Arabidopsis thaliana: one gene and its partner. The protein of the gene in region 2 interacts with the protein of the main gene of each other region in a pairwise test. Each region holds a gene or a part of one and is shown on either strand. Other genes may lie near its edges. The genes, in order: TRB1 and AtPOT1b.

Region 1 (15,799 bases), on a different chromosome or scaffold from region 2:
TTCTCTTCTAGAAGCACAAATTGACCACTTGCAGTGCCATCTTTCACATTCAACCACATACACGTCCTTCTCCGTCTCTCTTAGTAAACATTTTTGCCGCCTCTTAATCGAACACCAGTCCACTGCCTTCTTCATCTCAGCTAAATCTTTAAAACACAATCCCACACGCATTGTATCACCTTCAAGCCACAAACCAGACACAAGAGTCGGTGTTGATCCTGACCCTGAACCTGAATTTGTATCCCCCACTTCTTGTTGCGTACTCTTCTGTCTTTTCCCTACCACTTGGTGTCTGCTCTTCTGTCTTTTCTGGGGATTCATTCCCATTGGCAATAAGGACCAAGGAGCAGGAGGAGGATCATTAGGCTTTGGTTTAGCTTCCAAGTAAAATTCCACAGAGTTAATACAAGGGTGATTGCTTGGAACCTCAAGCATTTTCTCCCAATGAATGTCGTTCGCCACGGGATGAAGTAGATACCTAAACTTATTGGGTGATTGAACAACAGGGTACCTAGCGACTATTTCAAGCTTTGATTTTTGCTTATCAAATCCAGTTATTAGATAAAGCTCATCCAGAAATCTGCTAAAGTCAGCATTTTTCTTGACTCTCATCTCTTTAGGAGTCGATCCTTCAAAGTAGACGCCATCAGGGCCATGCTTGATATGACAATTCCAGTAACACAACACCACAACCTCTCTTTCAGCCATGAGCGAGCACAACAAAAACCTACAAGTAGAAAACCCTAGAAAAACCTACATAAACAATGAGAAACAAAATACAGAGACTCGTAAAAACTTGCTATTTTAGAGAAATGAAATGTACCTTTCGCTAAGGAATTCTCCGGTGGTTTGATGATAACTGCCTTTTCATATGCTTGACCTAGGAGGAACTCTCAAATAGCAGCATCCTAATTTTCAAAATAAATACAGAGCGCAATAAATAAATAAAACAGTTAGGCCCAAACTATAAAGCCCATTGATATGTGTTTTACGAAAATAAAAGGTATTCTGCTTATCCATTCCATGTTTGAATGCGGAAAAAAAAACAAGCTACCCATTTGCTGCTTTCAAGGTAGTAGTTACTAATGACGACCTATTGTTGTTTGGTTTTAATCTAAAAGTGAAAGCAGAGGAAGTTACAAACAGAGTGGAGAATCTTTAGAGGAACTGCGTGCTGATAGAAAAGAAGCCTCCGACTTGCGTTCAAAAGCAGCGGTCTATAAAGCATCTGTCATATCGAACAACGCATTTACTGTAGGAACTTCAAAGACGATAAGGTAATCTATTGTTTCCTGCTTACAATGCTTGATATGATAATGATGTTCAGATGAATTGACACATGATCTAACACTATAATATGTCAACTACTGTGAATGTTTAATTCCTTTGGAGTGCTCGTCGAGTCTATGGATGACACCGATGCTGACTCATTAAAGAGTGCAGCTGAGCATTTGATAAGCACATTGGATGATCCAGTCGTTGTGGTACTAGGTTCATCTCCAGAGAAAGACAAGGTTAGTTTAGTTGCTGCATTTAGTCCTGGAATAGTCTCCCTAGGAGTTCAAGCAGGAAAATTATTGCCCCCATAGCTAAGCTCTGTGGCGGAGGAGGTGGTGGAAAGAAAGCCCGAAAATCTCTCAAGTGCCTTAGAGAAAGCTCAGGAAGATCTCGTGGCAACTCTATCCGAAAAGCTAGGGTGAAGCACAACTTCAAAAGTGAACTGCATGTACAGAGAGAAGGAAGAGCACATAGCTTGATTCTAGACAAGTGTATTGCATGTATAGATGATGGACATTAAAGATATTTGATGTATCTAGTTTTTGAACATTAAATGATCAATGACATTTCTTTTAATGAATGAAGGACTATGTTTCGATTTGCTTTACTCATTGAACGTCGTCCCAACGGTTTTGGACGTATTACAAAACGTGAATTTATAAATTTGTGTATATTTAACATAGCATTATATATAGCAAGTTATGAAGGTGAATGTCATGCTTGCTATGCGCGTAGAGAGCTTTTGATGAGGGTGAGGTGAAGTTGTTGGCAGTTGAGACGACCGCGCTTTGACTGTGTTGGGTTGTGTCACCGGAGTTACTGATGCGGTGATATGATTGTAAGGACTAATGATATGTGGTTGAAGTTTCGGTTCCGATTCAATTTGAAGTAATTGTTTAAAACGTTATTTTTCAATAATTTCAGATTGCATAAAACTCGGTTTAATATATTATTTTGGGTACAAATCGGATTAAAAAGGGCAAAACAAAATATATAATGCTTTCAACAATGTACTCTCTTTAACAAAAAAAAAATCTTTTTTATGTCTTTTTCCAATAACTTGTGAATACAAAAGCGACTATCGTTTCATCATAAAAATATGTGTAGTTATATATTGGTCCTTACAAAAAGCGGTAGAATATAACATATGATAATGCTATCATCACATTTACTAAAGTTAAAGTAATAAATACTTAAATTGATGACAATTTATTCCATTAAATGTAAAGAGATAAAATTCTTCCATTTCTAGTGTCATTTCCAAATTTTATCAATTTACACTAGATTTTAAGTAGCTATTAGAGTAGTTTTTTTTTTTTATATAACATCTCATTCATTTATTGATTTCAAATTGAATACAAGAGTTTATACATTCGTAATACATCCACAATAAAAAGTAGTATTTACTTTTTAAAATTAAAGCTGATGGTTTTTAAATAGTTATAAACTATAACATGATTTAAATAATAACCATGGTTAGTAAATAAATTAAAACGTTGAGAAAAGAAAGACGTAAACAAGTTAAGAAATGAATGAAGCGATTGAGTAGGCAAAGATCAAAGAAACAAAGCAGGACGTATGTAAAATTTAAACAAGCAACCGAGTTAAGCAAATGAAAGCAAACGAAACAAAGAAGAGAGCAAGTAAAATAAGTTAACGATGTAAATAAAGAAACAAGCAATGAACTAAGAAGCAAATATACATGAATGAATGTATGTATGTATGTATGTATGTATGTATGTATGTATGTATGTATGTATGTATGTATGTATGTATGTATGTATGTATGTATGTATGTATGTATGTATGAATGTATGTATAAATGAATGTATGATTGAATGTTTGAATGTATCTATGAATGTATGTATGAATGAATGTATGATTGAATGTTTGAATGTATCTATGAATGTATGTATGAATGTATGAATGTATGAATGCATTGGCGGATCCACGTTAAGGAAGGTGGAGGCACCTGCCACCACTAATATCTAAATTAACAAAAAATTAGTACTAAACAAATTAAGTGGCATGGCCAAATGGTTTCATATCCTTCAAATTTTCGCTAGAAACCCATGTTCGATTCATCCCTATAACATTTTGCCCCCACCAACTTTTTTTGCTGGGTCCGCCCCTGTATGAATGTATGTATGTATGTGTATATGTATGTATCTATGTATGCAAAAATGAATATATGCATGTGTACATGAGTGGGCGCATACATGCAATGGTTGGGATATCACGCTGTCAAGGGAAAGACAACATTGTCAATGTAATTGGTCTATACCTGTTTTACTCACCACATAACTTCTTTTAATTCACAAAGTTTGTTGGCTATGAGATCGGCTCCTGCATAAAAATGAAAGAGATGATAACTTCAAGTTATAAGAGAAGAAACGAAATACTTGTATATATAGGTAATATCAAAAAAATAAAGTTACTGGAAACTATAATAGCTAAACCGAAAGATTATTGCAGAAAAGATTGGAGTAACATACTAGGGAAAGGAGTCAACCTAAGAAACGATATACGTTAATTATGTCCGAAGTTGCAGTATACCTGAAATAAGCAAAACGATGTCTGAGAGATAAGCGACATAATGTGTTTCTGATTTAAGAACACAAGAGAAACAAAGACCCCAATAAGTTCTTATCGAATTACCATTCAAAAGATTTGATATTTTTCCACAAGTCTGTTTCTTGATCCAATTTTTGGCTTTTCTCTAGAACTACATCTCTTATGTTTCATCTCTTAGCTACGAATTGCAGTGCTTTAAGTGCAAAATCTAAAACAATATACACGTGAAATAATGTACCATCAGTGCAAATATATACAAGATGACCTACCAAGTCGTTCGTACGATTAAAAAGTTGTCCTATGCATAATGAAAAATCATGGGATCAAGAAAATGAAAACTTACAGGTGGAAATTCGTGGATGGTTGATTGTCTTATAATACTCGAAGATGAGTTCTTCTAGAATCTTCTGGCAATGCTTCTAGCTTGTATAAAATGTTTGATACAGAGTGTACAGGATAATAACCCTTCTACAAACATAGTTCCATTGATCTGAATGTATATTCATTCACGATAAGTTAAGAAAATTATATATTATATGATTTGGTATAGTAACTGTAAATTACATTAAAATGACAACTTACAAGTGGGAGTTCGTGGTTGGCGGATCGTCTTATTTTACACCAAGATGAAGTTCTTCCAGAAACTTTCTGGCACTGCTCATAGGTTCTAGAAATTGAATGATCAGAAAATGCAGTATTCAGTCGTTTAACCTTCTGCCAGAAAATTCATGACCCTCTTGGCTCAGAAGCTGGTTGCAAGATTACGCCAATATCTCAAACCCTGAATAACTGAAACCACCAAGTAAAATATTTAGATACAAACCAGAATACCTTGTTTAAATCTTGGTATATATATAAGCCCTAAAAGCTAATTAATGAAGAATTATAATAGATTTCGATCCTTGTATTTCCAGTAATGTTCTTCCTTTATTAGTTTACAGAGAAACTACTAGCTTTGTTGTTCCTGGCATCCAAATCTACATTAGATATTTCCTTCACGGATGATTAGAAGTCCTTCCACATCATCTAACTCAATTGCAAACCTCAGTTTTTCAAAGTGCTAACGTACGTTGTTTTGTATTATAACATTAAGTCAGCGCTTAATCATCGACTCATTCACTTCAAGAAGACTCTGGTTTTGATATACTTGGATCTGTCATATGTACCAAAAATATGAATAGATAGATCCAAACGAAGATAATGCCAAAATGTGTATACTATATAACAATCAACCTCAAAGCGATGCCTTAGATTTCTTAGATTTAAAAATTGAGGAAGGCTTGTTATGGCCATGCGACACTGCATTCATATATTTCCCATCGTTGTCCTCGCCCCCATCCAAAATACTTTCCACCTATATCAATAATGAAAATCATAAATAAAGAACATCAGGGCTTAAGCACTCAAATACTTCTATGAGAGCATTTGTCAACTGAGTTGGAAAGGTACTTTTAATGAAATATCATTTGAATGTTGCGATCTCCTTATGTTAGAACCAGCTACATATATTTTCTCCTTACGTTCCTTGATCTGAGATGAACCGAGAGAAGATGTGAGTTAACACAAATACTGAAATCTAGCCAACTTTGAACATTGTAAGCAAACCTTTCGTATTTTTCAGGAGTTTCATCTTTTCCTCAGGCTTCACAACCCAAATTTGGTTATAAGCATCTCCAACCTGACTCTGAAAGAAGGACAAGAATCTCAATATATATATATATATATATATATATATATATATATATATATATGTTTACAACTAGTATGTATGTTTGGGGAAACGCAAGAAAGTTAATGTACTAGCAGGAATTCAACATTTGTATGTTTGAGAGAAGGTAAAGTTGCAGAAATTCAACATTTATATTTCAACGCACCAAAGATTGGGCATATTGCGTTTATAAAACAGTTATTAGAAGCAAACCTTTGCTTTGAAAAGGTTATTCCATTTCCTTGTAGCAATTTCAGTAAGACTTCGTCTTTAGCTGCTCTATAGACCCTTAGTTGCATATAAGCCCATCCGACGTTCCGCCGTAACACCACATTTATTCAAATCCATTAGTTCATTGATCATGAGACTTCAGAAATCTGATCAAAACTAAAGACTAGTGAGATTACTCTTACCAAGATCCTAGTGGTTTCTTCTCGACCGTGACCTGAAATTTCTTGCCATGAGATCTCACAGTATTTGTTGTGTCTGGCATCAAAATTTACATCAGATATATCCTTCACGAATGATTAAAATTCCTTCCACATCGAAATCTTGTTGAAAGAGGTTCATCATCTAACTCATTTGCAAACCTCACTTGTTCAAAGAGCTGATCTTGTTTTGTGTCAAAGTGGTCCATCGTCTCACTCATCCACTTTAAGAAGACTCTGGTTCTGAATATACTTGAATCTGTAATATGGTACCAAAACATTGATCAAATAGATAGATCCAAACGCATAGCAAGCCAAGATTATGCCAAAATTTATATATAACAACCAACCTTAAAACGATGCATTAGATTTTGAAAAAGAGGAACCCTTGCTATGGCCATGCAACTCCACATCCATATAGTATCCATCATTGCCCTCGTCCTCGTCCTTATCCAAAATATCTTCTACCTACTAGTCCTGGAAACATAAACAAAGAACATCAGTACTTGAGCACTCAGAACTTCTATGAGAGAATTTGTCAATTGAGTTGGAAAAGTACTTTAATGAAGTTTCTTTTGAATGTTCCGATCTACTTATGTTAGAGCCAGTTGCATTTTTATTTTCTCCTTACCTTTCTTGGTCTGAGATAAATCAAGAGAGATGTAAGCTAACAAATATACCAAAATCTAGACAACTTTGAACATTGTAAGCAAAGCTAACAAAATATGCCTTACCTTTCTTGGCCTCAAATATAATTCCAACCTGACTCTGAAAAAAGGAAAAAATATTAATATATATATACACAACTAGTATGTATGTTTGCATAAACGCAATAAAGTTAATGTACTAGGAGGAGCTCAACATTTGCATGTTAAGAGAAGATAAACTCGCGAAAATATGAAGTTTAAATTTGAGGCACCAAAGATGCATCTTGAGCATACTGCGTTTACAAAACAGGTATTAGAAGCAAACCTTTGCTTTGAAAAGTTTTTTCTTCATTCCTTCTAGCCACTTCAGTAAGACTTCGACAATGCACTTTATGTTTGGCAACTTTTTACAAGCCTTGTTTGCATCTGGCTCTATCACTTGAGTTTCCGATACACGGCTTCAGCTGTTGTAACATCACATTCAAATCCATCAGTTAATTGATCAAGAGAATTCATAAATCAAATCAAAACTAAAGACTAGTGAGATTAGTCTTACCAATATCCTAGAGGTTTCCTTCTCGACCGTGACCTGAAATTTCGGCCATGAGATCTCGCAATCTTTGCTGGTTTTCCATTGAATGCTTCTTCTTGATATATCATCCAAAGTTTAGCTTTAAGAGCTCAACTTGCTCTTTAGTTCTTCCACCTTTTTGCTCAAAATTTCAATCCAATTTTGTCAATTCTACAATCTAATAACAATAACTGAGAGAAACAAGAGAATGGTATCGGTTAGAGTTTATTTACCTTATAGAGATCGATGAGTACATTTTCTAATGATTCTTGAGCTTGTCTCAGCCATACCTTCAACAAACATAAAATTTGCCTGTTATCAAAAAAGATTGTTGTAGTTTTCAGAAAAAAAACAAAAAAGAAGTTCATTGAGTCTTAAGAGTTAGACAACTTACAAGTGACAGTTCATTGTTGGCGGAATGTATTGTTTAACTCTAAGATGAAGTTTTTCCAGAAACTTCTAGCACTGCTTAAAGGTTCTATAAATTGAATGATAAGAAATAATCAAATAAACTTTATCTAGCTTAGTTTATTTGGTCTGACAAGTTAAGACAGTTATAACTTAGCTGATTGGTTGCTCTGAAGGACTTTGAATAGTCCTAGAACGATCTAAAGCAAAGCAAATATTTAATAAACAGAGACAGTTCATGAGCAAATAAGAAAGCAAGTTAAGGATAGAAAATGAGGAAAACAAATTAAGCAAATCAAGTAGTTAAGGAAAAGAAAGTATGTAAGAAATTAAGCACGTAAGCAAGGAATCAAGTTAACCATGTAAGCAAGAAATCAAGTACACAGTGAAGCAAGAAGCTAATGAGGAAGCAAGGAAAAAAAAACTAAGTAAACAAGGAATCAAAGGAAGTAAACGACAAACCACTGAACCTGGTAATTAAACAAGGAATGAAGAAAGCAAAGAATCAGACCAAGAATTAAGGAAGGAAGCAAGCTCACAAGGACTGAAGGAAGTAAGCAACATACCTCTGAAGTTGGTAACAGAACAAGTAATGAAGAAGTAAAATGAGTAAAGCAAACTTGGATTGACAAAAAAAAAAAAAAGTAAGCGAAGAATCAGGCAAAGAATTAAGGAATCAAGTAAGTAAACAACGACTCAAAGAAGCAGAGAAGAAATTATAGATGTGTAAAAGTACGAAAGTATACATATTATACATAAGCGTAGATGTATGTATGTATGTTTGCAATGTAAATTATGTATGCATTTATGTATGTAAGTATGCAGGCATGTATGTATGTATGTATGTATGTATGTATGTATGTATGTATGTATGTATGTATGTATGTATGTATGTATGTATGTATGTATAAATGACTGCATGTATGCATGTATGTGTGTATGAATGAATGCATGTATGTGTGTATGAATGAATGCATGTATGTATGTGTATGCATTTGGTTGAATGATTGCGAACAACCCATAAGAATTCTGTGGCTCTCCAATTTGTTGTTGCAGAAGAAAAGTGACACAACATCAAACTCTTTGCAAAGGAGATAGAGTCGCCAATTGCTCCCTACACCAAAATTTGAGAAAAGAAAGCACAAGATATCAGAGATCAAAATAAATGAGTATGTCAACACTAAAGATGCTTTCACTTATCTGAATTACGACCTAGACGAATCTTATGAAGAGAACACAAATAATGTACAAGTGTCTTCTAAAGTTTTATCACCATTTGGAAAACTATTAGCAAGTTTCAGTATAACTATGCATATGAATCAAAACAACAAACCTTTAAAATTTCGAATGGCAATGACATAAGAAAACAATATGATTTTCCACAACCAAAATGATTTCTAAAAGCTTCTATCAACCAAAGACACAACAAATTAGATCAAAAATGATCGGATGAGATCGCGAAAATTCAAAATCAAACTTATTGGGTTCGCAGAGAAAAACGAACACAAGAAATTTGAGACGGTGGAATTAAATCATAATAAATTCGATTGAAAACCACAAACCTCCGTCACCGCCTCCGTAATCCACCTCACGGCGGCCACCCACCACCACCACGGTCTCATCCACTGTCGCTTCCTTTAAAGAGTCCTGTTCTCGTCACAAATCATAATCCTCTTGATCCCCCAGTTTCGCGATCGCTAGACGCTAGTGATCTGTCAAACCCAAATCAAACAAATCAGGAGTTAGAAGGTATTGAAAGCAATGAAATGACAAAATCATTTGATTTCTAATAAAATCAAGAAGATTAACGTAACGATAAGACAAATTAAGTAACAAGAGACATAGTAACAGCAAATCGAATCAAGTAGCAGAGAAACACAAATCAAAAACAGACTCGTAATCATCGGAATTCACTCGACTAAAATCCAGAATTCGAGAATCTCTGACCATTAAATCGAATAACGTGAGAGAACGCAATTTCTAGATTCTAGTCGCTGGTGGCATAAGCAGGGTCGCCGGAAAAGCACCGCTTCTCAAAATTTACAGACATTTTTTGAAATGGAGAATTTAGGGGTTTTAAAATATTAGAGAGATCAGAGAGGAACTTGTAGATGATTGTCTTCTAACAGACTATTTAACAAAATTCAATTTTGGAAAAACAAAAATGCCGCCCATTTCGAGAATAGAATTTTGAATTTTATTTTTTGACACGTCACCGATTGTAATGTGTGAAATGTTTAACGTTAACAGCCCAAAATTTAACCCAAGATTTTAAAATTTTGGTTTAGTAACAGCCTGAAATGTTTTTGGTTAAAGCTTAACCATGATGTAATTACCGTGCTCCGTGAACAATTTTGGATTGACTCGGTTTGGTTCTAATCCTATGTTGGCTATGCAGTGACTGTGAGTGGCATAGTATTATTTTCTTTACAGAATCACAATTATAGTAAAAATACCATGGTCTTTTTATTTTTAATATCAATGATTACAAATTATTTTAGTATGTCAAATTTCGGATGATTATATATATATCTGTCAATCACCTAATAATCCCAACTACATATATAATCGGGAGAAATTGTTAGGAATGCCCTTTCAAACTACTCCTTTTCAATTCTATCATTTTTTGTAATTTATTTTCATTTATCCCATCTTTTGATTTTTTATGGTCATTTTACTCTTATTTGAAAATATTTTAGGTTTAAAAAATATAATAATGATTTTTCCTATCAAAATTATTCCGAAGATAATTTTTCGACCAAAAAAATCCGACAAAAATTTTCCCGCCAAACTTTTTTTTCTTCCAAAAGATCATTTTCCCCAGAAAAAATAATTTTAATAGAAAATAGATTTACAAGAGTTTTTAAAAGATTTACAGGGGATTTAAAAGGATTTAATTCCTTTTCTGAACCCGAAAACGATCCATATAGTGTCCCAAAGTCATTGTGCTTTTATATCTTAAAAAAACAGTACTACTATTAATTGATAATACATACATAATCAAAATGCTCATTGGCGATAAGCATGATAGTGCATAGATAGATCGGTCTATAAATTATACACATTACTAACGATAGTTGTATGTATATTGGAGAGTGAGAAGAGCCAAATAAAACATTTTTTCCCAAAAGTTGTGCAGGAATCAAAAGAGTCAGAGCGACGACATACTGACAAACATATTTGATTGCTTACTACTAAAAAACAACTTCCCAAGTAAAGAGAATGATCAACACAAACACTAGGCTTCTCTCTACTCTCTCTTCACATTTAGTCTCCTTCTTCTCTCGCTTTCCATTACCTCAGGCACGGATCATCTGTCGAATCACATTTTCAACAAAAGCATTTTGAGATTTTCAAAGTTCTCTCATAGATATAATGTCTTGTGATATAAAAGAATATGGGTGTTTTTTTCTTTTTTTTACCATTTTGCAGATGTTTCTTCCTTTCAATGTCTTTGAAGCTTCCTCAGCGAAAGCTTGAGCTGCTTCTGCTTCGGCTTCTGCTGCCTCCGCTTCCTTTGCAGCTTCCTCAGCCTCTGCCATGGCAGCTTCTGCCTCTGCTACTGCCTGTGCTGCAACTGCTGCCGCCTCATGTACGTTCATACTCTTCATTCTGGCTATCTCTGTATCAATCTGTGACCTTGTCTGAAAATTCACTTCATCTATGTCTGTTTTAGGTGAAGGCAAAGAAGAAGTCCTCTGTTTTCCTCCAAACACCCCCAGACCTTTTCTCCTGTGGGAAGACAAGGGAGTGGAGTTTGGAATTCTGTACTTACGTTTAACCTGTAAAAGAGAAAGCCCAGATCAATAAACCTCGCAAGTTGCAGTGAATAATGGATATGTCTCTGTTCTACTGACATCCATGAACTAAATTGATTTGCACAAAAAGTCATACATACTATTCAAAAGACCAAAAATATATGCACTCAAAAGCATTAAATGAATGTAGGAATTCTTACCTTCACAAGTTTCCCGCAAGATGTCAAGTACTTTAGCTTGGTAGACAACAAGCGTTTGAAGTCTGGTGGAGCATGATATTGATCCTACACAAAAAAAAAAAAGGAACACGGGTACAGTCAGTCCTCTAAATCAGTCTTTTACAAGGAACTTAGACAAAGAATCTTCAAAGCAGTAATCGTACAAGTTGAACTCAATATTTCCCATGCTTGAATCACATAAGTAGACGAAAATATTTATGTCATTGGCGTGTTTCTGAATTAACTACAGAATCTACTCTTACGATATTCTCATAATTATATCGACTTAAGTAGATGCCACCACAATAAATCTCGTAATTACAGAAATATTTCTAGCCCTTTCAGCTTAGTTTCAGTCAGGATATTCAATGCACATTCGTCTATTCAGGAGAGGAGAAGATAAAGATGTCACCCATTGCCTTGCAATAAAACTGCCACATCCGTTGCCTATATTGATATTGAGGAATATATTCTATTGACACAACCAAAGGCTATATTTTGGTTTTCATCCGCAATGCTTCACAGGTTCTAGTTGACAACATATCAACCCACTGAGGATCATTCAAATTGAAATGTAACACGATGCGATTTAGCTGAGAGTAACAATTTAATAATACATATTGTCTATGAGAAAAGAAAAAAAAGATGCAAGAACGAAAACAGAATACCTCAATGTAGGCACCAATTGTTGTTTTGTTACAGCCACCAGGTTCTTTCAGGGTAGCTATTGCTTCCATTATAAGGCTATCCAACCTGCAACGTTTTTAAAAGTTACAATTTGTCTATAATAAAAGATTTGAGTGATACAAACATCTACGTGTAAGTGGGACTTTACAAATCCTCATCATAATTTCACAATTATAAAGCCACAGTGATAGGATTGAGCAAACGGCTCGCATGATAATAGTAAGAAGGAGGAGAAATGTACTAAGCCAGTGAAGACAACTTAAACAGAGGTGTGAAAACAAACCCATATCACATGAATGTAATCCAACACTTATCGACTTGCACAGAATAAAAAGTGACGGCAAACCATACATTTTGAGATGTAATCCAACTTCAGAAATACCAGCGAGAGAGATACAACAAAGCAACTCCTCTTCAATACAAGAAACAAAATAGACACATTTCTAACCTTACATTAGGTCTCCTTGGAGGAGGATTAGAAGAAACTTGGAGTCCAGAGGTCGCATCCACATTTTCTTCATCACTTTGCAAAGAATTGGTTAGGGCTAGTGAGTTCTCTTCCTGTTTAGGAAGGGAGAACGTCCTTTTAACAGCTAACCTAGACTTTTCGCGCGATCCCCAGCCATTTGCCATGACACTCATGTTTCTCCATTTGTCCTGTCCCAATACAATAAACAAACCATCTCCCAGTCAGATAAAATCACAAACAAAATACAGTAGCATTATCAAAGCTGACAAAAAGGATAAGAAGTAATCATGACCTTAAGATCAACATTGGAACGCAGGTACAAGACTCCGCTAAATTCAGGATCTTTGAGAATTGTGCGCCATTTACCAGGTCCATGCTTTATAACTCCAGACTTTAAAGCTGACTCTTCTTCTTGAGTCCATTTCTGCTTAGGAGCACCCATCCCGATTTACGGTCTGCTGTGTCAAAGCAAGTCCGTTCTGCAACAATACATATCAAATGTCACGAAACCAATCAGAACTAAAGTTTCTACATAAAAATGTAAACTTTTTCTTCAGTTGTAGCTCACAATTCATCATCAAATACCACAGAATAGTAAAACCCTAATTCCCTGTTCCGAGGAAACCCTAACATAGATTATCAAACTATACCGCAGCAATAGTTCAGAAACTAAGACGCAATAGCAAACACCAACTTCACATCACTGAAAGATGCCGAAACTCAAACCCTAGAAAAATCCGTTCTTTCAGAATGAAGCCTAATCTCATGCTGAGAATATACACAATCGAGAAAGAAGAAACAGATGAATTCACCAGGAATCAGAGTTTAGAGGAAGAAGAATCGATCATTCGCAATACCAATTTTTGTTTAATCTCTGGATTCAGATTTCGAGACGCTTGGGAAGCAGAAAAAGTTAGGGTTAATGCGAATACAAGGATTCAGAGTAACGGACCTCCGTCAATTCTGATGCGGCAAACCGCTTAGACCAATTAAGCTTTAAACGCGTTTTTTCACAAACGGCCTTAAAACGCGTTTTTTACAAACGGCCTTAAAACGCGTTTTTGTTTACGCTAGTTATTATATTCTGAAGATTATAAATTGTCTAAATATTTACAAATTCAACTTTTAATAATGATAAAGAAAATATCAAATTCCCCAAATGAAGTGTTAATATGATTGTCAAGAAAATATATTATCAAAACTAATACGCAGTGACCCAGATCATATTTACACGAACAATTTGGTTTATGTTTGAAAGTTTTGGTGGTGATTAAAAATTTGATGATTAAGTGGTATTTTGAACATAAAATACAAATATGTTGCTAGATATAATTCAGAAATGTGTGGTGGGGTGGTAGTTGTGATATTTTTTTTCAAAAATGCTATTTTCATTTTATCCATAGAATTTTCTCTATTGTTTATTTTTTCTGAAAATTATCTAGTTGACTGTACCACTAATTAAAAAAAAATTGTGGACATGGTAGTTGCGATATTTTGAGAGTTTTCCAAATCTATACACTTGTTTTAAACACATTAAAAAGTTTTATAATTTATTTATTTTTGAATTTCTCCAAAATTTGAAATATAAAGATCATTTCGTAAAAAAAAGAAAAGTTCGTTGAACATAGTTTTAGTTGATTTGTTTTACTAGGTTTATTTTCTGCAGATGTTCAGTAAAAAGAAAGAACCTTCTCTAATTTCACCTAGATATTTATGATTTTATAATACAAACTAATTTCATATTTGGGTTTAAATTAATAATTGTCCAAATAATTTCAAATTACAGTCAAAATAAAACATTAGCAATTAGTTCCATCCAAAATAAATTATTAAATTACCAAATTAACATTTTTAGCTCATGAGCCCAAAATTATTTATGATATGAAATATGTACTTGATAATAATTCAAGTCAGCAACAATAATTCATCAAATTTATTTCAAAATAAACCTCCTTAAATCTTTCTGGATTTTTTAACTGATAATCCTATTGTTTTATCTTATTTTCATTAAGCCAACAATAAGTCATACCAATTAGTCATTAGTTATAATTCTTGATATTGGTTAAAGAGAATGTTTAAGTGGTGGATGGAGTTAGTTGTATACTTTTTTGGCATTAAGATGAGAATAATTTGCTACTTATAAAGACTTTGTAATATTAAACATCATATTCTTCACATGAATATACAAGTGGACAATTCTGGTTAAGTCACACCAGTGGTTTAATCCGGTTCATTTTTCTACGTATAGCATTAGTGTTAATTACGTGCACGAGAACACAAGACAGAAAGTAAAAAAAGCAAGAAAGAGTCAACAAAGTTGCCCGCCTAACGATTACTTAGCACTTTTGAATCCGTTTTAAGCAAAGCCTTAGTTTGAATTTACAGCTCTCATCACAAAGAGAGTAGCCCTTCTCGAAGCGAGTGAGATATGGCAACAAAGACCGATGATTTTGCACCATTTCCAGTTAAAGATCAGCTTCCCGGAGTCGAATTTTGTGTCTCGAGCTCTCCAAATTGGCGTATGCTTTTTTCTTTTCATTTAGATTTTGTTATATAGTTGTGTTCTATTAGCAGTAAAATTATGTTTAGTCTTTAGGATAATGAATTTATGTTTCACCGATAGTGATGAACTATACGATTTAGTTTAAATTAGGGTTGTATTTCTTATTAATCTACAAAACTCGTTTTTAAAGCGTTTGTGATTATTTAACAAAAATTTCAGTTGAAGCGTTTCCATTATTCATATGAGTTATTTAGTCGATCGTCACCAAATTCTCTTTGATTTGTCAACAATATATGTTTGAGAAAATGATATGGTTTTATATGATTAATGGTGCAGCGGAAGGAATAGTTCTTGGGTTTCAACATTACATTGTAATGCTTGGAACTACTGTAATCATACCTTCCATACTCGTCCCTCTAATGGGTGGTGGCGACGTAAGCATTAACCCTAATCTCATCTAATAGCTCAAATTCACGAGAAGAAAACTCTTTCTAAATTAAATAAATTGATGTGAAACGACGTCATTTTTCTTCAGGTGGAGAAAGCGGAA
Region 2 (15,799 bases):
TCGGATTAATTAAAAAATATCGTACATGATAATTTTCTGGTTAAATAAAAATCTGATACCTTTGACACGAGAAAAAAGTTAAAAACTAGAAGTTATGGATAAAATCAGAAAATAACCAAAAGAAAAGGATCGTTTTGTCATTTCTTGAAAATAGCCCTATCCTTTTTTTCCATTAAACCAAAATGTACAAAGACAAGTGGGGAGTGATAGGGTTTGGTATATACGCGGTTAGCAGTTACCCACATGGTTTATCCACTTCACACATTTAAACCACCCCTACAAAATAATGTTTATCAAAACGACCCCAATACTTTCTTTTGTCTTCTTTCCGCCCTTACCTTCTGATGTTAAACAACTTAATTTCCGCTGTACACTGCTTTTACCAAAAAATAAACTCCCCATAATACATCCTTACGTAGCGGTAGCTACCTCCGAACCCGGTACATAACTTATCCGGTCCACTTCATCCCAAACCAATTTTGATGTTATCTCATCAAACTCCGGTTCATATTCCTATAACATCATTTTTAGAGTACGTACCATCAACAAATGAACCATGTATCGAATGTCTTATATTGGCACGAATATGAGGCTCGAAATATACCTCGAGTTGTCGAACCAACTCTTTAGCGTTTGGAGCTGAGACGATGATTCGACGAGCCATTGGGGATATAAATCCTTCGTCCACAGCCTTATCAATAAACGTTAACAGCGAGTTGTAGTAACCATCCACGTTAAGAAGACCCACCTGTCAAAAATTATTGACCAAAAATAATGTTAGAAACCAAATATCTTTAAATAGTATAAAAGAAAGATTACGACATGGGAAGCTTCCGGTCTCACAATCAGGGGTTATGTAGTCGTACGTCGTGACAACACATCGTTTTTTATATTCAATGCATATATCATAATATTACATGCTCTTAGAATATGTACATTTTAATTTAAAATGAGAATAGTACCAAAAAAGTTTAAGAGGTATAAAGAATCCCAAAAGGAATCTTGTTCCATGTGATTATTCCGACGTAACATATGCAACCATTTGTATCTTCTTCATTCAGTCAAATTAAACCACACATTATATGAATATAAATTCTTTTTAAGGTTTTAAATATGAGAAAAATATATCCAACACGCATATTCCGGTCGTAACTCATAACAATAATGTAAGCTCATATATCATACTTTAAAATGAATTATATAATCCGTAAAAGTTAAACGAAATTTTTTAATTTCCCTGATTACGTACCGGCTTACGGTGGATACCGAGTTGAGCCCATGTAATGACTTCCAGCAATTCTTCTAACGTACCATACCCACCTAACAATTTACCAATAGATTCATTCGACATATTTAGATCTTATCCATTTTTCTAAAGGAAATGAGTTTTATACTTTTATTACATATAAAGAATTGGATTACAAACCAGGAAGGGCAATGAATGCGTCGGCTTGGCGAGCCATTTCAGCTTTCCTTTGATGCATATCGGCCACGGCTTTAACTTCTCCGATGGTCTCACCAGTTATCTACAAATTATTATTAACATAACTTTTAGGTATCTTTATTTATTATTGCCTCTAAAATGTGAACACCGCAAAACATCTTACATATTATATTGCATGGTCTTTTTATTGTGGGTTTAACATATAAAAATATTAGTTGGTCAAGGAGATGTATCGTGAAGGAAACCAAAAAACGCTCCAAGTCTCAATCATTCCTTTTTTGGTCCTACCACTATTTTATGTAGATCATTACAAGGCAATTTCTATCTCAATAATACTATATATATAATACCAAGTCCAACAAAATTGATATTTCATTCAATAGAGCTTTATTTGGTGCATACCTCTCTTGGCATCAAGGTTTTTGGAATGACCCTACAAGAGATAAGTGAATATACCGGTTAAGAATGATGTATATAAAACAAAACTGGTATGGATTTCAATCTACAATTAACTAGAAAGAAATATGAAAATTGGCTATTTTGGTATAGATAGGTCATTGAAACGAGATTCTCTGATAGAACAAACAAACACAGATAATAAAACTAGTTGTAGCTTGAGTTTAGTAAAATAATTTAAAAAGCAAAGAGACAGTTTTGGACAAAGGAAACATGCACAGATCCTTTTTTGTCGTTGTTATGTTACCTCTCTAATGAAACTCAAGTATCTCTTCATATAACCAAAGAAGATTAATCAACTTATCAAATTCTATGCGACAAAAACAATAGGTTAATAGCCATCATGTAGATAGTCATAATCAACGGTCAAATGTTTGAAACACAATGATGATTTATAGCTTACTTCCCTAGCAAATACATCATCATATAAATAGATACATAGAAAGAGAGAGAGAACAAACCCTAGAACATGGCGACCACCATGATGAACAGCTTGAGAGACGAGACCCATAAGCCCCACGCTACCACCTCCGTATACCAAATCAATCCTTCTCTCCACCTTCAACCACATTTCCACCATCAATTTCTTTCATTATTATTATTATTATATTGCATTATTTATGATAACAGAGTTTTCATGATGAAAATGAACACGTGTCACAAACCCAAATCCACAATCGACCCCAAAAAGAAGCAACCACATCAAATATCAAATCTCAATTAAGAGAAAAGGAAAAACAAAAAAATAGCTCATCATCATCATCATCAATCCTAATTTCAATTGTCACCATCCTATTAATACTATTATTATTACCTACAGATCAATCAGAAGAGGGTTCTTCAAATTATTTTATTTATTCAAACAATTTAGTGTCGTTTGAAGAGAAGTACACCCCACAACACACGCTTTGTACATAGAGTCATTATTCTTCCAACGAACATTTTTGTTGGTTTTCATTGCCCCTCGAGGCAATACAAAAACTGTCATTATTATTTATCTTTCCCGTAAACAAAATCATTGGTTTATACTTGGAAACTTAAGTTTTAGGTTTAAGAAAAATCATATGAAACCTCAGACTCATGGAAAAAACAAGATATATGTGTGTAATAATGTAAATCACTGAAAATACAAAAAATTATCTAAAAAAAAGAGGTCATGCAAGAGTGCTGCTCGAGTGACAGGCGGGTTACAGCTAAGCATAGTAGAAATCACTATTTTCTCATCCCTCTCTCTCATGCCAATAACATTAAACCATAACACAAATTCGATTTCACAAAGTAAAAAATTGAAAATCAGCATCCACACGTTTGGTAGATTCATCATTGTTCGTTGCAACACACAATCAAAACCACATAATAGCCAATGTTTCAAAGAAGATTCTGAATTCGTATCTCAAATCAAATCTTCATTTTTGAGTTCATATTATATACCATCATAAAGTTTTGAATCAATCAGCCTTTTGTATCAAACAAACTATCCAAAACGAGAAATCTAAAAAAGCGAAGTATTTACAAATGACACAACAAGATGATTAATAAGTTACTTTTGTGTTGAGTAGTGAAAATGAATGTAATATATAAACTATTAAATATACATATATATGTTAGTGAGTAGAGAAAAAGTTGAAGAGAGAACTTACCAACTCGTTACCCAATTGAATGGCAGCTTCTTGGTATGAAGGTTTTTTGCCGGAACTGCTTCCACAGAAGACACAGATCCTCTTGAATCTCGATTTTGTCTCTTCCATATTTCTCTCTCTTTCTCTTTGTTACTTTGTCTCTCTCTCTCTCTCTCTCTATCTAGAGCTTAAAAAGTTGAAAATTCTATGATTATTATGATGAATGAGACCACACTTTGGAATTGTGTTAGTATTTATATATATATATAGAGGAGAAGTGGGAGAATATAAATGCAAATGCGATTCCCATGCCCTGCCCCCTTTTATTAATTATTACTACTATTCTATCTATATTTTATTTTATTTTGTGTTCTCATCTTGCGAAGAATTAAGTTACTAACTTTTTTTGTATTATTTAATTTGTAGTTTGAATATTCCATGGATACTCTCTAAAACTAGCTAAAACACGGCTTACATATATTTATATCTTATTTATACAGCAAACTTTCTATATAACATTTTTATTATAATATGGTGTTATTACAAATTAAGATTGTATTATAATAGATTTGTTTGAAAAGTCATTTTATGTCTGTATACGGCCGCGATTTATAATATGATCTTCTAATACTTATTTATTTTTGTGTGGAAAGATTAGATTAGATCTAACACAGGTTGGAAGATCTGTTCAGATTGTGTTATCTGATTAGTTCACGACTAACTGGATTCATGGATCATGTTTTTCTTTGAACAATTCAATTTTTCTCAAACTATTAGCTAGTGTCTATCTTACTAAAACTATATGTATCAGATTTTGGTTCAATACAACCAGATTCATGGATCATGTTTTCATTTGAACATTTCACTTTTCCAATAATGTCCATCCGAAGTATTAAATTAGATAACCTTCTTTTTTTTTTGACAAAAAATTAGATGACCTAAAACTTACTATTTTTGCGATCCAGAGCGTAAAACTTGTACCGTAATAATAATTAAGAAAAACTTCTTGTGTGTAGCAGAGTAACATAATTCTACGACAGAAAGTATTCACTTTTCCAGTGATCATCAAACTCTTAGAAAAGAAGTCAATGTAATTTGCTCATTTAATATATTAATCTACGGTACACGTTGTAGATTTGACAACCACACGAAGAAGAAAGAGGTGGTTAGTTTTCTAATCGAGGTTTAGACATTTATATTTATAAGTTATAGCTAGTTGTCTCAGTGATCTGATTTGGTTTCGATTTGGTTCCTTTTTAACAATTTTGGTCTAGATAGATAATGGATAGTCAAATAATAAGTTAAAACAAACTTTGGGATTTTTCGATTCTTTTCATTTGCGGTTTTGAAACTTGGAGTCAAGAAGAAAGTTTAGATTTGCACTGGAACCATATACTATTAATTTGATTACGAAGAAAATGTCAGGAAAAGTTGGAATGATTGAGAAGCGTGATCACTAACAAAAGTCGCAAGACATTCCGGAACTCCAAGCTTCAATGACCCATAATCGAAAAATCTCGACTACAGATTATATTAGACTAATACTGTATGTTTTCTTTCTTTTTTTGGCTAATCAGAGTACTCGGAATAGAAACCATATTATCAATTTTATTTCTATAATTGATTTAGAGTCTGGTGAGGTGTCTCGTAATCACTCTAATCTAGTTCTTCACGTCTTTATCAAATTTCCACCCTCTAAAGCAATAGTCCCTTGATCACATTTCACACCTACATTGTAAATAATAATATATTTATGGTTTGTCACACTTATATTTTTTGTCACCAAATATTTATGTGTATGTATGTATATAAACCGACAATGCATAACGGATATGAAAAATTAGTATTAGATCACCATTATTTACGAAAAACCCATCTACAATTACGTATTTACGTAGTGCAAGGATAGATTTTTTTCATTAGTAAAAGGATATATATTTTAGTTTCCACATATATTTATTAATTGTTGAATAGATAAACAGCTGTTAGCTGATGTAATCATACAACTAATTTGGATGATCCTTACATCGCATCCTTTGACTAAACCCTTTTTTACGTCGCATCAAATTAATTTGGATGATGCTTCTTTTACTTGAAGACCAAAGCAACGCAAACCATTAGAGTACAATTATAGGTTAACAATACAGATTGAATCCTATACCTTTCTACCTTAGTTTTTCAAGTAGGCTAGTCCACGGATGATTTTGTTTTAACCAAGTAAGACATAAGTCATAACTCAAAATCATAAATTCATAATTAGACAGTGATAATGTATGTATCCTCGTAAAGATTTCTTATGAAAGACTTGGAATCCAAGGCTTGGATGCTGCCATTTTTTTTTTTTTGCCAACATCAAGTATCTAAACTTATGGTTTGCATAACTGTCGAACTTATGTTGGATTTTAGGTTACGAATAATGTCAATATTTATATGTTACTAATTATTAAACAAGATCGAAAGACCTTAAAATAAGTATATCGAAGTCGCTTTCGTTAAGATATCACGATGATCAGAGAGATTGTATGAGCTGGTGATACATATAAAATTAGAAAGAAAACGCATACCATCTATCTTTGATCACTTAGATTTAATTATTGGTTAATAAAACGAAAGATACTTCGTTGTTTTTATAATTTCATTAACAAGTTTAAGATACTTCATTGCTTCTAATTATCTTCCATCTTCTTGCTAATTTTCTTTCGAACCATATTATTATATAAAAGTTAGTTTTAAAGTTGCTAACTAAAATGATCAATGTCATATTTCTTGATACAGATTTTGACATATGCAAAAACATCGCAAGAAAATGATACAATATTGATTAAAGATTTTGTCACGACTCATATGTAAACATATTATATAAAAAAATCATTCAATAGATTAGTAATTCTAAAAAGGATTGTTTTAGACAAAAAAATATATATTTCTATACCCAAAGAAACTATACAATTAGTTAGTAATTTCGAAAAAAGATTATTATAATGTTTAAGAAATTTTACTTTGCATAGCCAGAATTTCAGCTGAGGGCCTAGTAAAGTAATCACTCTTATTGAGCTTTTAAGACCCATTTAAGTTACGAAAACCTCCAAACATCCAATTGTATGAAACTCATATCATAGATTTTTTTTTTCTTCTTAATGAGCAACTTGGTAGCGGCGGCCCATTAATCATTATTATTGGGCCTTTAAGACCCATTTGAGTTACGAGAGCTCCTAAACGACTCAGCAAGATTCACCGGAGTGGCACCGGCCGAGTCATCGCATCCATCGCCGTTGTCGATTTCCTTCAAACCCTTGCAAAACCCCAACGATCAGAGACATGGAGGAGGAGAGAAGAGATGACTACAAATTCCTGAGAATTCAAGACGCTTTCAAAGCATTGCATCTTCATGTTAACCTCATTGGAGTCATCGTTGAGCTAGGATTCTCCAATGGCTCTGGTATCGTGATCCTCTCCCAAAATCCTTTTTTGCTATTTCATTTCATCATAGCTTCGTTTTTTCATACTTCCGACTGCTCGAAATTTGTCGCAGATTGTTCATGTACGCTCAAAATCGTTGATCCATGGTATTCGGGATCTGGCCTTCCCGTTAAGTTCGTCGCTCGTACCATTCGAGACCTTCCTCGTGTTGAATCGATCGGAGATATCATCTTACTTTCACGTGTAAAGGTTGACACACTATTCCTCTGATATGAGAAGATCAATTCTTCGTGGCTTTTGCTGATTTTGTTGTTAAACAGTTTTCTTCTGGGTTTAAACTCAGATTGTGCTGATTAACCGGAAAATCACAGCTCTCTGCAATGAAACAACCTCTTCGTCTTTTGCTTTATTCAATGGGAAACATAGCGTGGATTCTATACCTTACCAGTCCTCACCTAAATTCCTGATGAGAGAACAGGATAAGAACTTCTTATCGAATCTGAGAGAATGGATGATCACGTACAAGTTTGAAGATGGTAATTATGATGCAATATCATTTCTAATGAATTCTACTTATTCACTGAAATCTCTATATGCAAATGTTTGCTTCGTACTTTATCTCTAATGTGTTCTATGTCTTGGTGGTAAGTTGCGATTGTTGTGAGGTTTTGTTTTGTTTTGTTTTATGATAGGGTCATGCTGTTTCACATCCCTGAAAGATATCAAAGAAGGCGAATGTTCAAACCTATCTTGCCAGGTAGATTGATCATTCCTTAAAAGAATATGTTTTGGTTTTACTTTTCATGTTCATTTGTATTTATGGAACTGTAAGTGTCTTTTATGGTCTGCTATGTCTTTGACATTGTTTCTCATTGTTTGTTTCCTTTGAAGATTGTTCACATTTCCAAGGTCTATAAAGATAGATGGTACCTCTTTGTTTGGGATGGAACTGAGATGCCACCCTGCAACATCTTGGTTAAGTAAGTCTGAATTTCCTCAACCAAAATACAACGAGTAAAAATAAGTTTCTCTTATGCGTCTTATATTCATTTACTAGATTTTGGTCATATATCCCAAACGTGTTACTCATCTCACTCTGTTTTTGTTTGCAATCATAATAGGTCAGAAAGGCTTCCTTTATGTGTAGAACCCGAGATGTTGCCTACATACATGTTACGTAAGTTTCCTACTTTTGGTTCCGTTTTGAGGATCATAGTAGATAGAGTTAGTGAGAAGCAGGCCATTCACTGTCTTCAACCTGGTCAACACGTGAAGCTTCTGAACCTTTTCTTTCAAGTAAATATGGGATTATGGAACGCCACTTTTACTCCCTCTACAAAGATGCAGTACACAATGAGCAGAGAGATGGAAGCCTTTAGTCCTCAAAGGTTTCTGCTGACACCTTTTCTTATCCTGTGAGTTGATGTTCTGCTTCGTCCGTTTGTTCTTCAGTTTAAAACACACTTTCTTACCATTTCAGAATGTGTGGGGAGAAGTTTTCACCGAGATGGAACCCAATCGCGCGTTGCATTAGTCGTTCACATTCTGAAATCACAGGTAATAACCAGCTAATTGTTTGGAATTGTGGAAATTTGACATAACGTTTAATATAATACTTATGGTTTAATCTTTTCTAGGGGTTGCCCATGACGATGCTCCATTTGTTTCTCTGATGGACATCCTGACCTATCACAATGTAATGTATCCAAAAACCTTGGATTTATCATAAGTTGTAGGAAAAGAGTATAGTGAAAACTTTCTTGAATTGATGTTTTACTGATGCTTATTATGCAGGTGACTGCTAAATTCAGGTGTGTTGTTCGGTTCATACAAGTGTATCCCCGAGACGTCAGAAAACTCCGTGATATCAACGGAAATATCAAATTGGTAGCTATACTAGAAGATGCAACCGCCAGAATCCATGCTTCTCTATATGCTGATGAAGGGGTAAGTAAAACACGATTAATTATTAGTGTTCATTGAAGGATTGTCTAATACTTATATCTGTATATCTTTTTACAGGAAAAGTTTTTCGGGTGTGACGAATCTGATGAAGAGGCTCTAGTCAAGAAGCTGAATAGATTGTTGGGAGGTGAAGAGATGGAGAAAGTGCCAAGAAATCCTCCATGGGTACAATGTTGCTTGTTCTCATTCTACAAACACAAAATGGATCAGTGGGAAAGCAGAAGATTCCGCATTTTTGATACTTGGATCAATGCTTCATGAGACAATCATAATGCTAATTGTATAGTTATTAGCATTAAACAAAATGTGATTATTTATTTACATGGAACCATACAATAAAACATTACATAAGAAAAATATCTCTCTCCAACGATATGTATGGAAGATAATAAAGCAAAACAATCTAAAATAAGAATCAATAAACAAGTGTAATATGATGAACTCGAAGAAGACTATAATAGCATTGACTCTTGACTAGCAATCAAAAGTCAACGTCACACTTGGTCGGCTGAAAAACAAACCCGCTGGTTGAATTAGAGGTAAGAGGAACCTTGAGATCGCACTTGATCTTGGGCTTGAACCTCCACGACTTGATCAACCCAAACTTAAACCTAATCTTAAGTCTCAGCTTGGCATCGATCCTATAGATCTGAGAATTCACATCCTCGTTCAAATCCTTCCTCTCTCCGCCGTCAAGCAGCACCAATTGCTGTCCCACGAGTTTAGTTCCAACCACCGTCGTGTTCTTATGTCCCTGGTAAAACTTCGAGATGTTGTTACTCATACCGAATCGCTGATCACCGTAGTATCCTCTGACTTCGATTTCATCATAGTAAACACCGATCCGGCGGTTAGGGTTACGGATTGTGAAATTGAGATCGAGATTGTATCGGAGGTTGTTGGTTGGGTCGAGTGTGAATTCGGTGAGTTTAGCGTCGGTGACGTGGAATTTGATAGCGTTGGGTCTGAAAATGAGCCAGATGATTAGAGCAGCTATGCCTAATAAGACGGCTATGGTTATGAGGATGTTGAAGATGACGCTTAAGATACAGCAGCCGCAGCAGCCAAGACAGTCACCTAAACAACCGCATCCACCGCCGCGTCTGCCGTGGCTGTGAGAGACTTTCTTCGGCGGTGGAATCGATGGTCCGTAATACGCACCGTTTAAGTCCGCCATCTGTTCGTTAAAATGCCTCAGAGAACGATTTTGAAAGAAAGTTTTTTTTGGTTTGTGATAAGATTTTGAAAAAGTAAATATGATTTGAAGTGAAGAAGAAGAGGCCGTAATATATATACACTGTAGAGATAACGTGTATTAGATAAAACGATTTAATTTGACGCGGTTTTGTTTTTTCAAAGTCAAAGGTGACGCGTCGGTTTAATATTGTTCGATGAAAATTTGATTTAAGTAGAGGTTACTTGCGAGATTGTTATTAGATATTTAGGATTAACAGTTTGATATACATTAAAGATTGTTTCTTAAATTTTACTATATGGTTTCTTCTTCAATTTGACTATGTATACTTTGGTTAAGCTTAATGAGATTATTTCTTGAATCCATATATACATGATTTGGTGATTAATGAGGTTAGTGCCGATCGCATACAAGAATATCCATATGTAGATATTTATTTATATATTCTTTTATTATATAAGACATGTGAGAATGTGATGATACTTAGTGCGGTAGTTAGTTTGTGAATTGTGAATAGTCATTTTTACAATGTAACTAAGCTTCCGAGAAACTTCCCCAAAAGCGACTGCTCTAATATAGCCATTGTTTCTTAAACTTGACGAAAGACTTTTGAGAACAAAAATAGAAAATGTGGCCAAAATATCAATAAGCCTATACAAAGTTAGAAAAAGACAAACCAGTCCCGGTCAAGAATTTCGACATTATATATATAACATGATGAAATGAAATAACTTTGATCTATAGGTTGCAAGTTGAAACTGAGGTGGGGTTTTCCAAATGTTTATTTTATAACTATGAGAACAGTTCTACTGATAAAGGTTATTTAATTAATTATCAATTAATGAAAATGTTTAATGTGAAAGATTTCTCAAATTCAAAGAAAATTAAACATTGCAAAGACTTGTTAATGTTATAATGCTAAAAGCAAGGAAAACTAAGGGAGGTTGGTGTTTAGAGTTGGATGATGTGACCTGTAATTGAAAGGAAGATTAGGTGAAGCCATGCTTTCAAATGTTTACATCTTTCTTCAATGAGAAAGGTCAAGCATATTTAATAAAGAATAATAATACTAGATCGCAACTCAATCATATTAAACTTTAAAACAACTATGGAGGATTTATAAAAACAAATGTAACAACTAAAAAAAGTATTCTTATAATATGAGATGTAATGTGTTTTATTTATTTATTAAAGTAGTCAATGTAGTTTAAGAAATTTTTATGTGTTATACGGTATAACAATAATTTTCATTGTATATGATAAGTAATACACAATAATTTTAAAGAAAAACCTGGTGATGAACAAACGTGTTTGAAAAACTTGTTAGAGTTTAATGCGGTGTCAATGTGTGTGGTGATAAAACATTAAACTAAATTAGACAACAAATATTTCACGAAGACTCCTTCAATCTTAGCCGTTTGGACGAAATAGATCATTGGAATTGGACAAATAAATGATGAAGACTTTGGTTGTTCTTAGGGTTTTGAAAATGGAGGAACCGACGACCGATCCCTATCTACTCAATTCCGATATTCATCCGAATAAATTATTGAGAAATTGCGTTGAATAGATGTCCACTAAAGTTTAAATGGACATATATCTAAGGAAGTAACATATAGGGTATACTTTTCATGTAATCTATTACTAATTCTAATTTGGTGGTTGTCACCATAATTTTGTGTTGTTAATCATTGTTAAAATCTGGAATACAATACGACTCGAAAGTCGAAACTGTATCGTGTTAACCAGTGGACCAATGATACAACTCCATGATTCATTTTACTTACGTTATCCTTTGGTTATGAATGTTTATTCTATGTTTTGGTTATGAATTTCTCTAGATGAACAAAATCGAATCTTTATGTATATATTCAAGTCTTGATCATTTACACGCTTAATAAAATGTATGACTTCAAAAAGGCAAAAAGGGAAGGTTATGTAGACAATTGTGTGTTTTTATCATCTGCTTTTTTACAGTATAACTTCGGTTCCAAACTAGGATTGTATATTCATGGATTGATGGGCGTAAAGTTTCTCATCATGCTGATCAATTACCTAGATTACGTATGGCAAATTTTCAGTACAATGTTTCGAAGATTTTCAATTAAAATTATGTTTATATACAAACTGGATTCGGCAGCGTGTATATGTACAAAGGAAACAAAACACGTGGGAGTTAGTAGATAAATGGGACTAAGATTAAAAAATTGCATAAAAAATCGTTCACAAACACATCAAATATTTGTTGGTGACGAATCTAACGAACAAATTGCGTACGTTATGCTCAAATTGGACCTCGCTCTTATGTACATTTTGAATGTTCTCACATTGGACTTCTTTCTGAAATACATATACATATCGAATATAATAACAATAGCACATGTAATGAATCATTTCGCAAGTTTTCTCTCTTGGAGAAAGTGGATTCCAGATTGAGAATTACGCCTACAAATCTCTTAACAAAAGAGGCAAAATTAGTCGAAGCAGTTGGTTATAAGATGACTTCATTATTAACCCAAAAAATACATAATATAGAATATTCGTGGGATTCGAACGTTGGAGAAAAATACCCTATTTCTTGTAAAATAAGCAACATGATTCTACTTTTTATCATTTCAAGATCCAAGAATATTTAGGAGACAAACTAACCAATATATTAGGAATATAGATTTGATCAAGAGTTTTTCCTTTGAATGTACTGAACTGTTGTAAAGAGCCAACTTTAAGATCTAAACTTTAATGGGAAATTGAAAAACTATATGAGAATGGGTCTTGATTCTGTTTTAGAAAAAGAAAAAAAGACAAGATACTATAGATAATGACACCGTACAAATGGTTACCGTTCCGATCAGATATTTCTAAAATTCAATTGTCGTCACTCTGGATCAGCACAAAATCATAGTCAATGAAACAAGAGAATATACATTATTATCATTATATAGAAAACAGTTTTTAATTGAATCATCCATCATAAATTGTTACCAACTGAAATAAAAATAAACCTTTTTTTTTGTCTTTTACTATATTTTAGTGTTTCCTTTGAATCTTTTACAGCTCGTCATAACAATAACGCAACCGATTGCAATTCTTGATATTATTTCTCTATGACGTAGGAAAAAAAAAGTTATAAAACTTAACTACTACGAGATTATATATAAAATATATTACGTTATTAATAATGAAAAAATCCGTGACCGATACCACCGTCACCGTTAAGTACCTCTTAATTTGTCAAACACTAACACTACAAGTTTCGGTGAGCATGTACTTTCCGACGATAACTCCGGCAGCACTACTCCCGAAGTTGATAAGCGCATGACATCTAACGTGGAGATGATATTTTCCGGTGATGAAGGATCCGACTTTCCAACGAACTCGACCGTCGAGATGAAGCATCAACATGATCGCGCCACTTGAATGGTCCTGATCGAGATAGAAAGCGTTGTACGGAGCCACAGGAACGGAGTATCCACCGACGAAAGGAGACCAAACGTTGACTTCTTTGTGTCCTTGATAAGTGGTAAGCATGGGACTCGGCAAAGTGATCTGTTGGCTCCGGTAAGAAGCGTAGACGTCAAGACGGTCGTAGTAGATACCGATCTTGTCGTTAGGGTTACGAGAGGAGAGAGTGAATTGGAAATTTGAGGTGAGGAGGTTCGGTGGATTGCCGGAGACGTTGAAGTTGAAGACGGTGGCGTCTTGGAGGACGAAGCGTGGTTTCGATGGTTGAAGGATTGCCCAAACTAGGAGAATTACGACAAGGATTAAGAGGAGGATTATTGATATCGTCCAGATCACTATTTTACGGTTGCATGATGAGTGGCTGTCGTGAGAGCCACAGTCTTTTGAGGTCATAGCTCCGGTGACGGTGGTGTGGGAGGTTTGGTGGTAGAGAGAAAGTGAGAATCTTAAAATACTCTCCGTGACCTTTATATAGAAGAAGTGTATATAAAGATAAAAGTACTTGTAGAAAAGATATAAAAAGATAAAGATATCTTTTCTATATAGTCTTTGTAGAAAAGTTATTTTAATAACGATAAAGTATAGAAAGTATGGTACTGTAAGTATAATGTTTTGGTAATGAATTATTACGAATACTTATGGGTGTGATTGGTAAAGATATTAGAGTAATATGGAGTAATTAATGTTGGAGTAACTATTTTTTTTTTTGGTAACTAATATCATAAGATCAAAAATGATATAATTTGTGATAATGGTTGTATTTGATTTGTTTCTGTATTAAGTATTAACTCGTTGTGATATTATATATATTGATTTGCCGTTAAATTTTATGTTGCATTATCATGAAAAAGTGACTTTTTAAGTATTGCGAAGATCAGAACATTTATAAATTTAAGCATTTTTTAGTAATGTATGAGTTCATTTTATTTCCTTAAGTTACTTTTGGAATATATTATTTGCAAGTGTCAATCATTTAAATTCTACGTTTTCTTGTTATAATTAATTGGGCTTTTATTTGGGACAATAGCTCAATGGCCTTTTGGGTTACGAGTTAAGGGAGAAATGGGCCCAATACAAGCATTCACGTTGACTTCTCTTTTTTTTATCGTAGTTTTGACCCTAGGGATCTGAAACGATATCGTTTAATGTCTAAGCGGGTAAGGGTAGTGTCGTAATAATATATTTTATCACTAGTGAGAAAATTGAAACCAATCACCGATTGTTCTGAGCCGGACGAAGGAGAGGCAGCCGCCTAAGAAGTTGCCGTCGTGCGCCATGGCCGTGAAGGCTTCTGGATTCATTGGGAAATCAGCAATCTCTGTTCATCTAGATTTCTCTTCGTTTCCTGTGAAATTTTCATGCTTGAAACAGTTTTCTGTATCTTCACCAAAGCCACTGGTCGTTTTATCCGTTGCCTTATCGTCGCCGGCAAGAACAGTTGAGTCTCCGCCTGTTGGTTACCGGAAGAATGTTGGGATTTGTCTCGTTAGCCCATGTAGAAAGGTAACTTCTTTCTTCTTCTCCTTCCTCTCTCATCGCTTTATGTGATTTGGAAGAATTTGTCCACTTGATTTGGATTTGAAATGGTTTTGGTTTTGCAGATTTTTACGGCGTCAAAGATTCACATTCCGGATACATGGCAGATGCCTCAGGTGAATCTCTCATAAGCTCTATTTTATTACAAAATGGGTTTATTATATAGGCTTTCGGTGTCTAAGTAGTTTTGATTGCTTTGGAGAGCTTAGTTCTCACTTCTCACCAAAACAACAGCTCCTTTGTAGTGTATTGAGTGATATCGTTTTTACCTTTGTTGCTAAAGAGGTGTTGAATTGCATAGTTTAGGGAATTGTTCATTTGAAATTACAAAGTAAAAACCAAATGCATTGACAATCCTGAGAAGTAGCTTAGGCTGTAGATTCACCAGTTTATGATCCTTTAGGGTATCAATTTTGGCCATAGGTTTTTATTAAATCTGCTTTTACAGGGTGGTGCTGATGAGGGAGAAGATTTGAGGAACGCTGCCTTTAGAGAACTGAGAGAAGAAACAGGGGTTACTTCGGCAGAATTCATTGCGGAGGCACGCTTTTGACATCTCTCTCTCATAGTAAATTATATTTCAATAAGATTCCTTTCATCATTTCCATGGTTTTTGGATTAGAGTTTGAATTGCTCTGTGTATCACCAAACTGAGCTTTTGACTATTTTAAACGTCTCTAGATACCAAACTGGCTGACCTAT

The links.
Region 1: the proteins of AtPOT1b (region 2) and TRB1 interact in binary tests that used the Arabidopsis thaliana proteins (3 or more experiments, as listed by UniProt).

The regions. Positions count from the first base shown.
Region 1 is NC_003070.9:18,483,526-18,499,324, forward strand, and holds TRB1 (telomere repeat binding factor 1), read right to left. Parts: upstream 13,794-15,799; 5' UTR 13,604-13,793; exon of another isoform or gene 13,397-13,603; intron 13,226-13,396; 5' UTR 13,189-13,225; coding exon 13,039-13,188; intron 12,935-13,038; coding exon 12,726-12,934; intron 12,344-12,725; coding exon 12,259-12,343; intron 11,657-12,258; coding exon 11,573-11,656; intron 11,397-11,572; coding exon 11,037-11,396; intron 10,929-11,036; coding exon 10,914-10,928; 3' UTR 10,546-10,913; downstream 1-10,545. Other genes in the region: AT1G49920 (MuDR family transposase), read right to left, coding at 1-708; AT1G49930 (alanine-tRNA ligase), read left to right, coding at 1,407-1,514, 1,595-1,767, 1,864-1,928, 2,056-2,114; AT1G49940 (uncharacterized protein), read right to left, coding at 5,136-5,206, 5,458-5,536, 5,974-6,075, 6,156-6,247, 6,375-6,452, 6,723-6,756, 6,961-7,093, 7,192-7,295; AT1G49960 (Xanthine/uracil permease family protein), read left to right, coding at 15,175-15,265, 15,586-15,683, 15,785-15,799. UniProt on the Arabidopsis thaliana protein: Binds preferentially double-stranded telomeric repeats.
Region 2 is NC_003076.8:1,921,631-1,937,429, forward strand, and holds AtPOT1b (Nucleic acid-binding, OB-fold-like protein), read left to right. Parts: upstream 1-6,712; 5' UTR 6,713-6,837; coding exon 6,838-6,958; intron 6,959-7,051; coding exon 7,052-7,188; intron 7,189-7,282; coding exon 7,283-7,475; intron 7,476-7,631; coding exon 7,632-7,696; intron 7,697-7,830; coding exon 7,831-7,919; intron 7,920-8,060; coding exon 8,061-8,327; intron 8,328-8,419; coding exon 8,420-8,496; intron 8,497-8,576; coding exon 8,577-8,635; intron 8,636-8,733; coding exon 8,734-8,886; intron 8,887-8,961; coding exon 8,962-9,165; 3' UTR 9,166-9,321; downstream 9,322-15,799. Other genes in the region: LOG7 (Putative lysine decarboxylase family protein), read right to left, coding at 412-513, 605-748, 1,250-1,320, 1,427-1,526, 1,847-1,877, 2,362-2,459, 3,541-3,648; NHL3 (NDR1/HIN1-like 3), read right to left, coding at 9,386-10,081; AT5G06330 (Late embryogenesis abundant (LEA) hydroxyproline-rich glycoprotein family), read right to left, coding at 13,331-13,954; NUDX27 (nudix hydrolase homolog 27), read left to right, coding at 14,837-15,064, 15,163-15,213, 15,546-15,638, 15,779-15,799. UniProt on the Arabidopsis thaliana protein: Negatively regulates telomerase activity and participates in chromosome end protection. Binds RNA non-specifically. Associates with a regulatory Pol III-dependent lncRNA, which represses telomerase activity in response to DNA damage.